Mus musculus: one gene and its partners. The protein of the gene in region 3 interacts with the protein of the main gene of each other region in a pairwise test. Links are inferred from orthologs where the notes say so. Each region holds a gene or a part of one and is shown on either strand. Other genes may lie near its edges.

Region 1 (3,500 bases), on a different chromosome or scaffold from region 3:
TTAAAGGCGTGTGCCACCACACCCGGCGGAAGGCTTATTTATTTTATGGGTGTTTTGCCTGCATGTATATCTATACCACACGCCTGCCTGGGACTTGAGGAGGCCTGAAGAGGACACTGGATCCCCTGGAACTCGGCTTAGAGAGGGTTGCAAGGTACTGTAGATTCTGGGAATCAAATCCAAGTTCTCTGGAAGAGCAACTGGTACTTGTAACCACTGAACCATTTCCCTGGCTCCAAGCTGGCTTTCTTATACAGCCCAGGACCACCTGCCTGGGGCAGATGCAGCTCATAATGGACTCTATCAATTACCAAACCCATCTTGCCCCAGTGTGCCTATAGGTCACGCTCATCTGGGTAATCCCTCAGCTGAGACGTATTTCTTAGGTGCCTCTAGGCTGTGTTAAGATGACAGTTAAAGCTAACTAAGACACACAGTACCTGGCCCATAACAGTAGATGTTTGACATCCCCGAGCAACAGATTTTCCCAGGTAACACAAGTGTAATACTGACAGAACGAAATAGACTGAAATACTGCCACTAAAGAGAAGTACCTCTGGGGTTAGAGAGGTGGCTCAGTGGTTAAGAGCACTGATCGCTCTTCCAGAGGTCCTAAGTTCAATTCCCAGCAACCACATAGTGGCTCACAGCCATCTGTAATGGGGTCTGGTGCTCTCTTCTGGCCTGCAGGCATACATGCAGGCAGAACGCTGTATATATAAATAAATAAAACGTTAAAAGTAAATAAAAAGGCTAGTACCTCTATATGAATGTTTACTTACCATTGTGTCAATCTCCTCCAAGATCTTCATGAATTGCTCAATTGTTGCTTTTACTTTCCTATCAAGTTTGCAGAGAGCCTCCGCTTGCAATTCCTTAGCCAGAAAACCCTGAGAAGGAATAAGGCACTATTGCAAGTGTTTGAGACTCATGGAAAACCATGCCAATAGACTGGTGAAGCAACCCAGAGTTCACCACTGATCTAAGAAGCCCGGCTAGATCTCAGACCTTCATCCCCTGGGAAAATTAGAAATGCTTGCCTTGGCCAGACTAAGAATACTACCAGGGTGTGGACTGTTCTTTCTCTCACAGTCCACTGAGGCATGAATGCCCCCTGAGGAACTATGGTGCAGCCTTCAACACAGGTGCATACATGCACATAAGAAGCAGACATTAAGAGAACAGACTGAAAAGCTGGGCACAGTGCATCAAGGGTTGGCGTGAGGTGTCTTTGCCAAACACTGTGTGGTGGTTTGAATAAAAATGGCCCCCATATATTTGTATGCTTGGTCACTAGGGAGTAGTGCTACTTGACAAGGATTAGGAGGTGTGGCCTTGTGGGAGGAAATGTGTCACTGGGGGTGGGCTTTGGGGTTTTAAAAGCCCAAGCCAGGCCCAGTGTCTCTCTCTAAGTGTTGCCTGTGGATTGAAATGAAGAATTCTCAGCTACCTCTCCAGCACAAAGTCTGCCTGCATGCCACCATGCTTCCTGCCATGATGATAATGGACTAATTAAACCTCTGAACTTTAAGCCAGCCACAAATAAACGCTTTCTTCTTTTAAGAGTTGCTGTGGTCACGGCGCCTCTTCACTGACTAAGACTCTGCCTTATTTTTTGAGACAGGGTCTTTTACTGAATCTGGAGCTTGCCCAATTTGGCTAGACTGTTTGGGCAGTGAGCAGCTGGGATCCAGCCCTCTTCTCTTTGCCTCCCCCACACTGGGATTATACAGTGTGCCATCATGCCCAGTTTCTGCATGGATGCTGGGAATCTGAACCCAGGTCCTGATGCTGTGTGGCAAGCACTTTATCAGCTAAGCTACATTCCCAACTTTGGCTTAAGATCTTAAAGCAAGTTCCTTAAACTTGCCACGTCTCACTGATCTCAGATTATGGGATGCTGACCGGCAGATGTGTAGATGCTCACATAACTCATGGCACAGATAGATACACAAGATAACAGAGGATGGCGGTATTATTGTGGCTTTGGTTTTGAGACAGGATCTCTAACTCACTGCATAGTCAATGCTGCCCTTAAACTGATCCCGTCTCTTGCTCTGAGAAAAGCTGTGATTACGGTGTACAAGCCCACACCTGGTTGAGGTAGCACTTACTGTCATTAAACCACCCTGCTGTTCATTTGCATTTCTTTGCCTAGTGATCAGTTAGCGGGTGGCTGAGTTGAAAAGCAGGAATTTCTGAAGATGGCTATCAAACCAGAGTGACAAAGGCATATTTGTAAACACACAGCAAGAAGTTCGAACATTACTCAGAAATCCAAACTCAGTTCTATCAAAGACAATCACAACTACTCAAAAAGGACTCCTGTCTAAGGGCACTCAAAGCAGCAGCACAGTAAGAGAAAAAAATCAGGTAAAACAGAGAACAGAGACTAAGGTAGGTAAACCATGATATATTCACATGCAGGAAAATATGACCATTTTCAACAACACAGGAAAATGTTAATTTTTAGCCAGTAAAAGAACAATTTACCAAATGTATAGCATATTATATTTTAACTAAATAAGGTGAAAAATACTTTTCAGAGTAATAGCATCTCTGGGTCAGACATACAGACCTGCACACAAGAAGCACAGTAAGAGCCGGGCGTGGTGGTGCACGCCTTTAATCCCAGCACTTGGGAGGCAGAGGCAGGCGGATTTCTGAGTTCAAGGCCAGCCTGGTCTACAGAGTGAGTTCCAGGACAGCCAGGGCTACACAGAGAAACCCTGTCTTGAAAAACCAAAAAAACAAAAAAACAAAAACCAAACAAACAAAAACCAAAAAAACGAACAAACAAACAAAACAACAACAACAACAAAAGCAGCACAGTGAGAGCAGAGCTGAGCTTAGGACGTGAAAGGCCTCGGCTTGAATCTATCTATACGCACATATAAAACTTTTGTGTAAGCATCACAAACTAATTTTATAATTACAACACAAAACAGGACTGGAGAGATGGCTCGGAGATTAAGAAGGTGTACTGTTCTACTAGCCGACCTGCGTTCTGCTCCCAGCATCTAGAGGCTCACCACCTCACATCACCCCAGCTCTGGGGGGTGTGGGGGGTGTCTTCCTGGCCACCAGCACTCACATCCACCTACTCCAACACAGACCCAGGCAGACTCACACATAATTAATATATAATTTAAAAATGAAATAAATTATTTTTTAAAAAGCCAACCAGGCAACAATACCATACCACTCTATCCACAGAATAGAGAAGTCACCTGCTGGATGCCAGAAAGCTCTTTATTCAATTCTTGCAGGTGGTTAGCTATCTTCTCTGCAGATACCTCCAAATCTTTCAGCTTCTTTAACTCAACCTCTTCTTCTGGATTGCTCTAACATAAAGAATAAAACGAGGTCAGTAATTGCTCACCTAAAACAACTGAGCCAACCTCTTGTGCTTCTTGGAAAGCAAGTCAAAGGGTTAGACAACAGGATTCCTATCCATAAAGCCCAGCCCAGGGAGAAGGAAGGCCAAGCGAGCATCCTAG
Region 2 (4,098 bases), on a different chromosome or scaffold from region 3:
GCCACGTGAAGTTCCTGGGCCTCTCAGTCCCCTCATCAAGCCTCAGTGGGCCAAGCCTGGGAGTGAGGTGGCTTTGAGGGATTTCTGGTGGGCTTCCCTATGCCCTAGATTTATTGAAGATGGTCTTAGACCAGGTTGTGCTGGATGGTGAAAGAGTCAGACCCTCTGAGAAAAGACAAGTAGAGGGCACTGGAGTGGGGGAAACATTTATTCAACTTCAAGGAAAGCTACAGACATACCAAAAGCTAATCACTGAGACAGGCCTGGCAAAGACAGATTTCACACGTAGCACAGCATCCACCCGCTCACTACAAATGGTCTTGGAAGCGAAATGGGTGAGAGAGGAAGTGATTGGCCTGACCCAGACTATCCCCATATTTACAGCATTGGGCCTTCTAGCCAGACCCACGGATTCACAGAGAAAAATCACAAGACATTTTACACTGAGGATTATTTCTGATTCCATACGCTTCCAGACTAGGCCTTGTGGGGCCTACCAGGCAGCAGGAGTTCAGCTCTTGCTCCTTTCCTCTCCTCTTCTCAATGTCCACACTTTGACCCTTCCCTAGCTCCCTTCCCACCCCAAGGAACAAGCTACCTGAGCCTAGGGAGTGGGGGCTGGGTGGGGCTGAAGAAGGATGAGGTGGGAGAAAAGAGACACAGACAGTGGGCTCCATTTCCCAGGCCAGCTCAGCTGGGCCCAGCACTACCCAACCTCAACTGCTGCCCCTTATGGAAGTTTCCAGCAGAAACTCAAAATACAGCCATCATCCTTTTATAAATAAGTTAGAACACAGACGGGGAGGGGAAGTCACATTAAACATGCGAATTTCTTTTTCTTTTCTTTTTCCTGGGGAAAGGAGCGCAACCACAGACACGAGGACATTCAGAAACACTGGCAACTTGGGGGGGGGCGAGCCAAGAGAAGTGGGGAGCACGGAGGGGGAAATAATAATAATAATTATTATTAACAATAATAACAAGATAACCAGTCCAGGAGAGAGGGAGCCATGGGAAGACCTAAGACCAAACGAAAAATTGTAACACAGGACTGGGGTGTGACAGGCTCGTGGGAACTGGTCCCCAGCGGGCAGCGGCAGTGCAGGGAAGATTGGAAGGGTCGAGCTGGGGTTGGTGCGGGCTCTCGGGCCGCCCAGGGCTCCTCCGGATGGGCTCAAGGTTGGAAGGCGCTGCCGGCTGTAGCCAGACTCATACTTTTCAGTTTGTTGTCTTTCTTCCACTTCATGCGACGGTTCTGGAACCAGATTTTGATCTGACGCTCGGACAGGCAAAGCGCGTGGGCGATCTCGATACGTCGCCGCCGGGTCAGGTAGCGATTGAAGTGGAATTCCTTTTCCAGCTCCAGGGTCTGGTAGCGAGTATAGGCGGTCCGGGCCCTTTTTCCGTCTGGCCCAGTCATATCTAGAGCAGTTAGAGGAGAGCCCCGAGGCAACGTTATTCCGGTTAAAGGAGGGGGCACTGAGTGGGAGGGGGCGGGGAGCAGGACCCAGGCGTCCCCAGCACCCAGCTCACCGCAGCTCCCATCCTCCTCACCCCAGATGCCTGCATCCAGCCTCTATTTCTTCATACCCCCCCTTCTCCAGCAGCCCCCACTTCTGATGGTAGTGAATGCTCCCGGCTTTGTCTCTGGCTCCTTCCCAGTGCCTCACCCTAGGCTGGGTTCAGGCGGCAGCTCGCCCGGGAGGGAAGAGAGCCACTGCACTTTTGCCCTAGAAAGCTCCGTTTATAGCCCATTCCCCCTTTGCTAGCAGCAGTCTCAAAATTTCTGTAATAATCAGGACCCTTCCTCACAATACACAAATCCCATCTTTCATCCTAAAGCCGGTGACTGGCTAGGTAAACAAAACCTAAGCTGAACGTGGCAACAAACTGGCCTTTTTTTTTTTTTTTTAAATGCCTACGCCCAGAAAACAACACTGTTTGGCTCTATCTATGGAGCTGTGGGGACCCTTTCTGACACTTTTCCCTCTTGATGGCAAAAAAAAAGAAAGAAAGAAAAAGAAAAAAAGAAAAGAAAAAAGGGATCTATATTTGAGGCAAAGCCAAGCTTTGCTCGCCCCCACCCCCAACACAGGGCAGGAATGCGGAGAGGACAAAAAAGAGATGGAGAATTACCGTGGCTGATGTGAAGCTTCCTCATCCAGGGGAATATCTGTGGAGTCTGCCCCTCGGGCGCGGCCGTAGAGGTGGCCATGGGCTCTGGCTGTGCTCGAGCCAAGCTGGGGCTGCTTAGCTGGCTCGCCGCTTCCTCGGGCTCAGAGGACGCGCTGGCCTCGTCTATTTCGGTGAAATTGGCGCTGGAGCTGGCTGGGGTCGCCTGGTCGGAAGGGGACGAAGCAGAGGGCTTGGCGCCGTGGCTGTCGCCGTTAGTGCAGGGCAGGGACTCGGGCGAGGACAGGGAGCAGCTGGACGTCGCCTGCCTGAAGCGGGGTTCCTGGGCGGACGCGGGGAAGGCGCGCGAGCTCTCGCCCACCGCCCCAAAGTGGCTGGAGGAGGCCGAGGAGCGGTTGACGCTGAGATCCATCCCATTGTAATTGTAGCCGTAAGAGCCGGTGTGCATGGCAGCGGGATCCCTGTAAGAGCCGCTCAGAGAGCTGCCACTGCCATAATTTAGCAACTGATAGTCCGGGCCATTTGGATAACGCCCCGAGAAGGAGTTTACAAAGTACGAGCTCATTTGGGTGATTTTGGAGGGCTTGATTTGTGGATCGTGGTCGTTATAACCCTGTGCTTCACGATTTATGATGTATTAATGAATTATAGCGATGCACTGTACTTCGTTTTGCTATGTATGCGGCCAAATATGGGGGGGGTTAGAAGGGGGATGGGGGGGCGTTAGGGAATCACGTGCTTTTGTTGACCAGTCGTAAATTCTCACTGATGACCTCAAGAGGTAATTCATGCTCTATGGTTACAAATAATGACGATCGGAGAATCGTTAGGGCCGATTCAATGCGAGCCTCCGAGAGGGGGGGAGAAAGTGAGAAGGGGGAAAAACAGGGAGAAGGTTGACGTTGGCCTCTGAGCAGAGCGCGCCACCTCCCGGCGATTGACGGGAGCGCGGGCCGCAGGCCGCCATGGCGGCTTCGGCAACCTCTTTGCTGGCTCTGTGCAACCGCCAAGCCAAGAAAGAAACCCGGCCCGCAGCTCACTCACAGGCTTGAACCTTTAGGAAGATGGATTTGAGTCTTTTGCCTACTTCGTTAGGGTGCGGCTATCCCCTCTATTTGTGGCCTCTCTGACATTATCATCACCATTATTATTTTAACTCTGGGTAATATAATCAAAATGAAGTTGCTTGATCTTCCCTCCTTAGGCTTTGCCAGTCCCCAACTTGGGTAAGGAAATGGGGGGAAGGATTATAAGTTGTGTGTGAAAAACAATTATAAGAATTTTGTTAGCTCAGCCAGGTCTGCTTCTTGGCTAGGCTTCAGCGGCGGGTCCACAACACGAGAGAGAGCCGCAGGACTAGGCTGGAGGGAGGCTGGAAAAGGCAGGGAAGCTCTTCGTTCTCCTGGGCCCCTGGGAAGTTTGGATTTTTCCTTCTGACCTCTCATCCTTAGCCTAGGCCTAGGAACCGAGGTAAACAGGGACCCTAGAAGAGAAAGATGGTCGGTCGGCCAAAGACTAGAGAGACAACCGTCTGAGCGGTTAAGGTTTGGTGGTAACTCTTCTGCGGGAGTTTGGGGTTTAAACAGATCCCCTTTAACAAGCTCGCCAGATGCCAGCTATCTCATTCAGAGACCAAATCCAAAGCCTTGTGTTGCTGGTGGCCAATAATTGGAGAATTTGCTCATGGCCTTACCGCCTTCCCTGGGAAGGTGTTCGGAAGACCGGCGGCCCCTTGCTGAGCTCGCTGGGCGGCCAGAGATCTCCGCAGCTGGGCCCCTTCTGCCAGACGGCTATTTTCTTTAAAAATAAAAAAAGGAGGGGGGAGAGGGAGAAGGAAGAAAAGAAAACGGGGCCTGAAGCTTGCTGCTCGGGTGTGGGTGGCAGTAAAGAGAAAATGAGCCATTTTGGGTTGAGAAGGTGAGACTAAAGGCGCCATCACCTGGACCCCTGCCCTCGGGTCTCCAA
Region 3 (3,500 bases):
CTTTATTTTTCACAGTTACTAAAATCAGTCAAATATTAAATAATTTAATTACAAAGTATTACATATGCATACAAACTACTTGTAACAGCGTGACCGGTTACTTTCTTGAAAAATGGCAAATTATTATATTTTTATTTACATACTGCCCATAATATTTGATGGGCTTTTTATAGTGCTGGCTCCTAAGTTTAAAAAAAAAAAAGTATATTTGAAAAAACTGAACCAGAACATTGCCACCTAAAAATCACTGTCCTTGTAACAATTGCACTAAGATTTAGCTCTCAACTTCATCTTAAAGAGCATTAGTAACAGGAGATCTACCTATTTAAATATAAGAAATCATGCTTCCATAATAAGAGTATCTTTTACAAATAAACTGTAAGAACACAAAATTTAATTTTTATTCACAACACTGCCATAGTAAATGTAAACTTTTTATAAAAGTTTCTTTTACTTTAGACATGTTCTTCCTTTTAACTGAGACCTTGTCCTAAAGAGCCTTGATCCTTTTTATTGTCAAGTAAATGCACTTAACTTGGAAAACCATGTTAAAGAAATTAGCATTCCCACTGTTTGAAAAACCTTTCCTAAGGTATAGGTAGTTTCCTATTTAGGTCTCAATGTGTTTATGTAAAGGTGACAGGTTTTTCATGTGACTTACGACACTTTACCAACAAAGGATGCACATTACTTAGCCTAAGAAAATGTGTTGAACAAATAAAGGAGCAATTTAGGGCTATGACCTGGGAAATAAACTTAGGCCCAGTCCTGGAAATGGTTCTTATGAGTGAAGATCAAACAACTTTCACAGTTTTATTGTTCTTAATTTAGTTCTGGTCTAATGATCAGGTCCACTTAGGTAACATTTCATTCTCACTGTGCGTTATGCAAAATGCTTTAGGAGAGAGTTATAATAAAATTGTAGAAAAAAATGATTTTCTATGTTTTATGGACCCCAGCACTAAGGATGTTATGCTAAATGTGGAAGTAAAGCAATCCTATTACCCCAATATAGCTTCAATTCTAGTACACAATGGCCAAAAACAATAAAAAGGTGGGGTAAAGCCATACTTCCTTAAGCTCTGTTAGGCACTCCACTGGCTGTTTTTTCACTAAAATAAAGGACCTTCTACTCATTGTCTGTGACCACTTCTCTCTCAATATAAGGACATATATACACTGAAAGTTTCCAATGCCTAATGTACCTTTTAAAAGTGTATATCCAAGAAACCTCCATTTAACCAATGTAACAGGGTCATTTAAATTTGCCACAGAGTACTTTTTAAAAACAATGGTACATTTCTCAGTCCAGGATTCATATATACACATACTAAATTAATTATCACATTTGAGATGTAGAATTTCTTAGAATGCATCACATGCAAAGTAACTGTTAACCATAAGCATGAAACAACTGCTGCATTAAAATCAAGCAACATCCAACACTCCAGCAGCCACAAGTTGCCGGGACAGCCAGTCCAACCCTTCGTAGAGCCCCATTCCACTTCGAGCATCACAGCCCTGAATATACCAACTCCTTCCACAGCATAGTTTATGGAGACTGAGAAGTTCAGTGATTTCTTCTACTGAAAGTGCTCCAGCTACATCCTAAAAAACACATAGAGTGATTTCTATCAATCAAGGAATCATTTTTCTAACTCTTACCAATTGTATAGAAAACTACTGGTAACACTGTGATTGAATCCTAAACAAAACCAAAATTCATTTTCAGATTCTAAGATTAACTAAAAGAATTAAGAAAATGTTTTGGTTAGAATATCTATATATATTAAGGAATAAATAATGAAATCAATCACAGCTATGATAGGGTAGGTGGCGGGGCACCTTTCAGAAGCAAAGGGGAGAACCAGGAAGGGAGGCAACACTTGGAATGTAGATTAATAATTTTTTTTTAAAAATGTTACAAAATAAAGTATTAACTTTTTTATTCTATTCCATGACCAGATCTATTAATCTAGGTTTTCTTCATCCTTTAACTGAATTTAATATATAAGTTAGTTTGATGCTCCCTAAAACTAGCTATGCTACTGTTTCTCTTCCTGTTAATATTATTCCTTCACATATAAACTCAAATACATCTGTAAGTTCAATCCTATCATAATTTAAACTCCAATCATATGACCGAATCCCCCACTATAAACCATTCAAAGGATCAAAACCAAGGCCATGCACATGTTACATGGGACATGTTACATGTTACATGGGAGCACTGCCACTCAGCTCCAGCTTTTCCTATTTCTGAGACAAGGTCTTGATGCATAACTCAGGCTAGCTTTGAGATTGCCATATATGCCAGGCCAATCTAAACTCCTGATCTACCTAAATCCACTTTTACATACTTTAAGATACAACCTAATTTAGAATAGGTCTATCCTTACGTCTCAGCATTCTATTAATATTGTTGAAGTGATGTCCTAATTTATATATATTAGAATATAGCATGAACACACAAGAATGCATTTACTTGATTTGTATGTGCATATACTCTACAATATCGAAGGTAACATTTTCCACAGCAGAAATTTACAAGTATCTATTGATTCTTTGATATCTTCTCAAATGACTTATGATATGGAATATGCAAAACTACCAAAGTAATAAATGTTGATATAAAAATTCATTACCTGTTTGTTAGCAAAAATCAAGAGTAAGGCATCTCGGAGTTCTTTTTCCGTTAACAACTTTGCAAGTTCACTGTGTGCTTCACTAATTCTGTCTCTATGACTACTATCAACAACAAATACAACAGCTACAAAAGTACACAGAAATTTTCAAGTTATTTATTAAGTTTAAGTAAATTAAAAAGTATTAATTGCTTTCATTATTCTTGCTAAATCTTATTTACCCTATCTTCATTTAAAGGCTACCTACCTACTTAATGTCACTACTTAAAGCCTTAAAGCAATAATTCAGGAAGAGTTTAGATAGCTTCACAGGTTCTCCTCCTCTGACAGGTTTTATAAAACTGAATCTACCAAAAAAAAAAAAAAAAAAAAAAAACACCTGTCCCTCAGAACCTGTCCCCTGAAAATGTGCTTAAGATCTCCCTTAAGGCTGCCTGTTCTTTACAAAAGCAGAGTGAGAGCTCTTTAGGGAAAGGCAAACCGCTAGGAGGAAGGAGAAGTGTTAATGATGCATACATATGAAAAATGCCATAATGAAACTCATTACTGTGTATGTTAACTTAAAAAGTTAAAAACAACAACAAAACTGCTGAGTCTGGTAGCCCACACCTTTATTCCCAGCACTCAAGAGGCAGAGACAGATGGATCTTTATGATTTGAGGCTAACCTAGTCTACATAGCAAGCTCAAGGTCAGGTAAGCCTACATACTGTCTCAAAAACGTGAAAAAAAATAGTAGCATAGAAAACTATAATCTTAAGGAATAGAAATATCACCATTATTATAAAATAGGTGTATGTAATACTTCATGGGAGGGGGCACAAAAGTGTAGAATGGAGCCAGGTGTGAAGTAAGT
Region 4 (4,166 bases), on a different chromosome or scaffold from region 3:
CTGCCCATTTTATCTGCAAAGCTGTGACTACCCTAGGATTTACTGCGTGTTCCTGACCCAGCTAGGATCCCTGGGCTACAGGTGGGCTGATCAGATATGCACCTCCATCTGTAAGCACAGTTGTTCTGAACCTGAACAGACAGACCCACTGGGTCAAAGCATTCTGGTGAGTCCTGCACTGAAGTTACAGATGACTTGTTTTAAGTTCAGAGTCTCACACTGTAGCCCAGGTTAGCCCAAAACTCCTGGCTAGCTCCTGGTATTGGGATTACAGGCATGAGCCACTACATCTGGCTCCTAGACCACTTTTTCTTTCTTTCTTTCCTTTATTTTTGGAGACAGTCTCACCATGTGGCCACAGCTGGCCTTGACAGTCACGCACCACAGCACCTAGACTGCTTGTGATGACTGTACAAATCCAAGTAGAGAGGGGCTGGGACTGCCATCAGAGGTACAGCATCACCCCAGAGCCCAGAGTTCAGGAAATACTTCAGTGGGTGAGGTCATTGTAAGACAAACACTTCATATCAGCATTTTTAATATCCTGTACACTCTAAGCCAACATGAAGAACCTCTTTTAGAAGCACAAGCTGGGACTGGCGAAATTAAGAGTACTAGATGCTCTTCCAATGGGTTCAACTCCCAGCACCCACATGCCAGCTTATGATTGCCTGAAACTCCAGTTCCAGGGGACCTGGATGCCCTCGAACACACAAACATACAGGTAATAGTGCACATAAAATATATTAAAAAAAAAAAAGCACAAGCCACCAGGACAAGCCTTGACAATGTTGGCATTCCTTCTAAGCATACCTGGCTCTATCAAACATCCCGATTCCTTTTTTTATAAATCACAACAGACAGTACTTATGCTCCACAAACTCCAATACCAAATCACAAAGTATACAAATTAAAGGCAAGGCTCCTCTCTTACAGACCTCAAGTCCAAAACAGAGAGTCCAGCCCAAACCCAACTGTCTTTTCCTAGCACAGGAGTAGAGCCTGTCTAGGAACAAGCACCAAGGTTCTGCCACAAAACCCCAACCTGCCCTAATAGTCATCTCTTAGGCAATTTACGACCCAGGTGGCGCTCATCTAAGAGTGACTGGAGCATAGGGCTTCACTTCCAATGTGTCCCTCTTTTCAACTTCTCAACGCACAGGCCTGCCCAATCTCTTTCTCTAGCATCTTCCACTGAAGCAGCTATCCTCATCCAGCCAATCAGATGGCAGAAGATGGCAAGCAAGTCTGGGCAGGGTTTCCTAACAGGTTTCTCTCTGGAGCCCGGGGCCAGTGCTCTGGAGAAAGAAGCCTGGACACCGGGCCACACAAAGCTGTTGGGACAGCTGTAACTGACTTCAGGATAAAGTTGTGTGCCCAGAGAACTCTGTCCTAGCATCCAACTGCAGCTATCCTAAGTGAGAAGAACCGAGAAGCTAGCTCAACTGCTCTTGCCTGGACACTCAGTGTTAAGGAGACAGAACCAGGGAATCACCAAGAGTTCAAGGTTAGCCTTGGCTACAAGAGATCCTGTCTCAAAAACAGGGAGAAGTGAGAGGTGGCTCTTATCAGAACTCTTAAAGGCCTTTTGCCCCACGGTCGAGGAAAAGGAACCCTAGGAGCACCCTGGCAATGATCTAGGCAGAAACTTGGGGGGCAGTGCTGCTGCTCCCGCAAGCACTCCAAAAGCCACTTAAACACAACTTGCCTTCCCAGGCAAACAGTCACTTCACGAGCTAAAAGTTTTGTGATGCAATGACCAAACTAAACCAAACCAAACCAAAAAACCATTCCCCTCCCCACTACTAGAGACAGGAAGGACATACAGGGATGGGTCTTATGACTCCAGGCTTCCTACAGTGTACAGTATTTGTCTGGCGACACCACCTACTTCAGAGCTACTTACCGGTCAGAGAGCCTGTGCAAGGTTGCTTATCTCCGCCCACCTCGGCAGAGGGAACATGGGTACCAGGCACTACGGCTGGCTTGGATAGGGCGAAGCGGCCTCTTTTACTCGAATGCACACTGTAGGCCCTAAGGATCCTTCAGTAAGTATACCACGCTGTTTGTTAAGTTTCCAGTGGCAGAGACAGCCAGAGGAGGGCAGGACTGCGATCACTCACAGCCTGAATACCTTTAGAAAGAAAACAAACTCCCCTTCGACGCCCGTTTTCTGCTATGCAGGCAGGTAACTAACTCATCCACTAAAACAACAGTTCCTTAAGAATAAAGGAAGGTGGGGCAGAGAATATACACAAGACTCCCCCACAAAAACCCAAGCTACAAGCCTAGCGTCTCGGTAACGAACGAAGCCTTCTGATGTGACTCCGGGTGCTTACAGGCCCCGACACGGCCCAGTACTCACGGCCTTCCGCACTCTCACTCGCCTAACTACGGAGCCCAGCACCGCCCAGAACGCGTCTGGGAGCTACTGGGAAGCTCAGATTATCTGTTGCGGGGTCGGCGGAACTCAGTTCGCCAAGAGTAGGGGGGCAGTGGGCCGTGCTCCCAACCCTGTATTCTCCCGTGGCACAGCGGCTGGGCCCTAGTGCCCCGAAGGCCGAGACTCGGAGGCCGCGAGCGAGAGGAGGCCGCCGTGGCTCCGCTCGGCGCCTCCCGGAAGCTCACTGGGAACGGCGGCGAGTCCGGGCGAAGATGGGAGTGCGTGCGCAGGCCGGTGGCGGCTCACCTGGGCGACCGCGGCCCGGACCGTCGCGGCGGCAGAGGCGGCGGCGCTCCTTTGTCTCGGGACTTCCCTCCGCGCCCGCCGCGCGCAGCACGGAGCGCAGGACCCCAGCGGGCGGGGCGGGGCCTGAGCTGGGCTGCCCGCCACACGCCTGCTCAGCTTACCGTCCCTCCCGTCCGGTGGCCTACGCGTCTACTTAAACACGAGCTTCCCGCAGCCCGCACGCGGCTGCCGCGCCCTCGTTGCCCGCGACCGCCTAAGGAGCCCGAGCCCAGGGCGCCTGTCCAAGCAGGCGGTGCCCTGAACGGCCGCACTCTTAAAGGGGCCGCGTCCTAGGCTCGAGGGAGCGTCTGCAAACTCCTCTTCGGGATGAGCGCGTCCACTCGAGGACACATCAGAGAGTCGTGTGAGGAAAAAGAAGCATAGATTCCCAAGGGTCATCCGGATGCTCAGAGGGCACCTTCCCGGGCACAGGCTCTGGAGGTATCCTTGGGCTCAAGGCCCGAGTCCCGGGAGCAAAGATCACTGAGGCCTAAACATCCTGGGAATCGTCGCAGTACGGTGACGATCCCCGGAACTTAGCGCGCTGTGACACTTTCTGCAATTGGCCAGCTCAGGAACTTGGGCGGGGTGAACCTCGAAACTATCCAATGAACTAGCCTCATACAAAGGGCCAAACGCAAGCAAAACCGACGGGGAGAGAAATGTGGATGCTCCCTAACCTACGAGTTAGCCCCCTAGTGGGGGAGGGGAATGGGCCTGCGCCGTGGGGGAGGGGCAGCACCCGCGGACCCCCCCCCCCGCGCGCGCGCCCCAGGCCTCTTCCCTGTGCCGCACCCCACACCTTAGTTCCACCTGAAACCCCTGTGCGGCTTCTGCTGGCCCCGCTGGACACGCTTTTGTCACGCCGTGGCCTAGTCCAGTTTCCTCGGCCAGTCCTCTGCAACCCAGCTCGGATGCTTCCTCACCGACTCACCGACGGGACGGGTACTTAGAACCGTCGGCTGGCCCCCTGGTGGCCATTCTGGCGCCTGCTCCTTTTTTTTTGGCACGTGCTGGAGGCCTTTCGGGGCCAGTTGCAGCCAACAAGGGCTTCCTGGGAATTTGGACTATGGGTCCAATTGCTGCCAGGGACTCCAGTGTTCATCTGTCAGTATCTCCGTCCATCTACTCACCACTCTCTCCTTCCTTCGTTCTCCTCTTACCTTTTGAGGTTGTTGGGTGCCCCAAAACAGGAACTAAGGTCCCATGCCCCTTGCCCACAATTGTCCAACATTCCCTGGAGCTCACCCTGTTAATTCCTCCTGTTCGTAGCCGTACTGTTTAAGAGTTAAGATCACAGTGAGCACCAGATCCTGAGGGACCTTGGTCTCTCATTGGGGCTGAGTTGTAGACAAGGTCGGCTTAGATACAAGTTCCTGACACACTAGATCTGTACCCCCAACAGATCTGGTTTGGATCCATCCCAGCCTGCAAAACA

Evidence for each region.
Region 1: the proteins of Trim23 (region 3) and Bag1 interact in binary tests that used the Homo sapiens proteins (3 or more experiments, as listed by UniProt). The two-hybrid records come from large-scale screens. The link is inferred for Mus musculus from reciprocal best matches to the Homo sapiens genes TRIM23 and BAG1.
Region 2: the proteins of Trim23 (region 3) and Hoxb5 interact in binary tests that used the Homo sapiens proteins (3 or more experiments, as listed by UniProt). The two-hybrid records come from large-scale screens. The link is inferred for Mus musculus from reciprocal best matches to the Homo sapiens genes TRIM23 and HOXB5.
Region 4: the proteins of Trim23 (region 3) and Ube2i interact in a two-hybrid assay, tested with the Homo sapiens proteins (3 studies listed by BioGRID and IntAct). The link is inferred for Mus musculus from reciprocal best matches to the Homo sapiens genes TRIM23 and UBE2I.

Annotation. Positions count from the first base shown.
Region 1 is NC_000070.6:40,938,295-40,941,794, forward strand, and holds part of Bag1 (BAG family molecular chaperone regulator 1), read right to left. Parts: intron 3,345-3,500; coding exon 3,231-3,344; intron 891-3,230; coding exon 783-890; intron 1-782. UniProt on the Homo sapiens protein: Co-chaperone for HSP70 and HSC70 chaperone proteins. Acts as a nucleotide-exchange factor (NEF) promoting the release of ADP from the HSP70 and HSC70 proteins thereby triggering client/substrate protein release.
Region 2 is NC_000077.6:96,302,214-96,306,311, reverse strand, and holds Hoxb5 (homeobox protein Hox-B5), read right to left. Parts: upstream 2,801-4,098; 5' UTR 2,699-2,800; coding exon 2,137-2,698; intron 1,423-2,136; coding exon 1,175-1,422; 3' UTR 191-1,174; downstream 1-190. UniProt on the Homo sapiens protein: Sequence-specific transcription factor which is part of a developmental regulatory system that provides cells with specific positional identities on the anterior-posterior axis.
Region 3 is NC_000079.6:104,199,339-104,202,838, reverse strand, and holds part of Trim23 (E3 ubiquitin-protein ligase TRIM23), read right to left. Parts: intron 2,771-3,500; coding exon 2,646-2,770; intron 1,609-2,645; coding exon 1,429-1,608; 3' UTR 1-1,428.
Region 4 is NC_000083.6:25,270,632-25,274,797, forward strand, and holds the start of Ube2i (SUMO-conjugating enzyme UBC9), read right to left. Parts: upstream 2,801-4,166; 5' UTR 2,690-2,800; intron 2,135-2,689; exon of another isoform or gene 1,907-2,134; intron 1-1,906. UniProt on the Homo sapiens protein: Accepts the ubiquitin-like proteins SUMO1, SUMO2, SUMO3, SUMO4 and SUMO1P1/SUMO5 from the UBLE1A-UBLE1B E1 complex and catalyzes their covalent attachment to other proteins with the help of an E3 ligase such as RANBP2, CBX4 and ZNF451.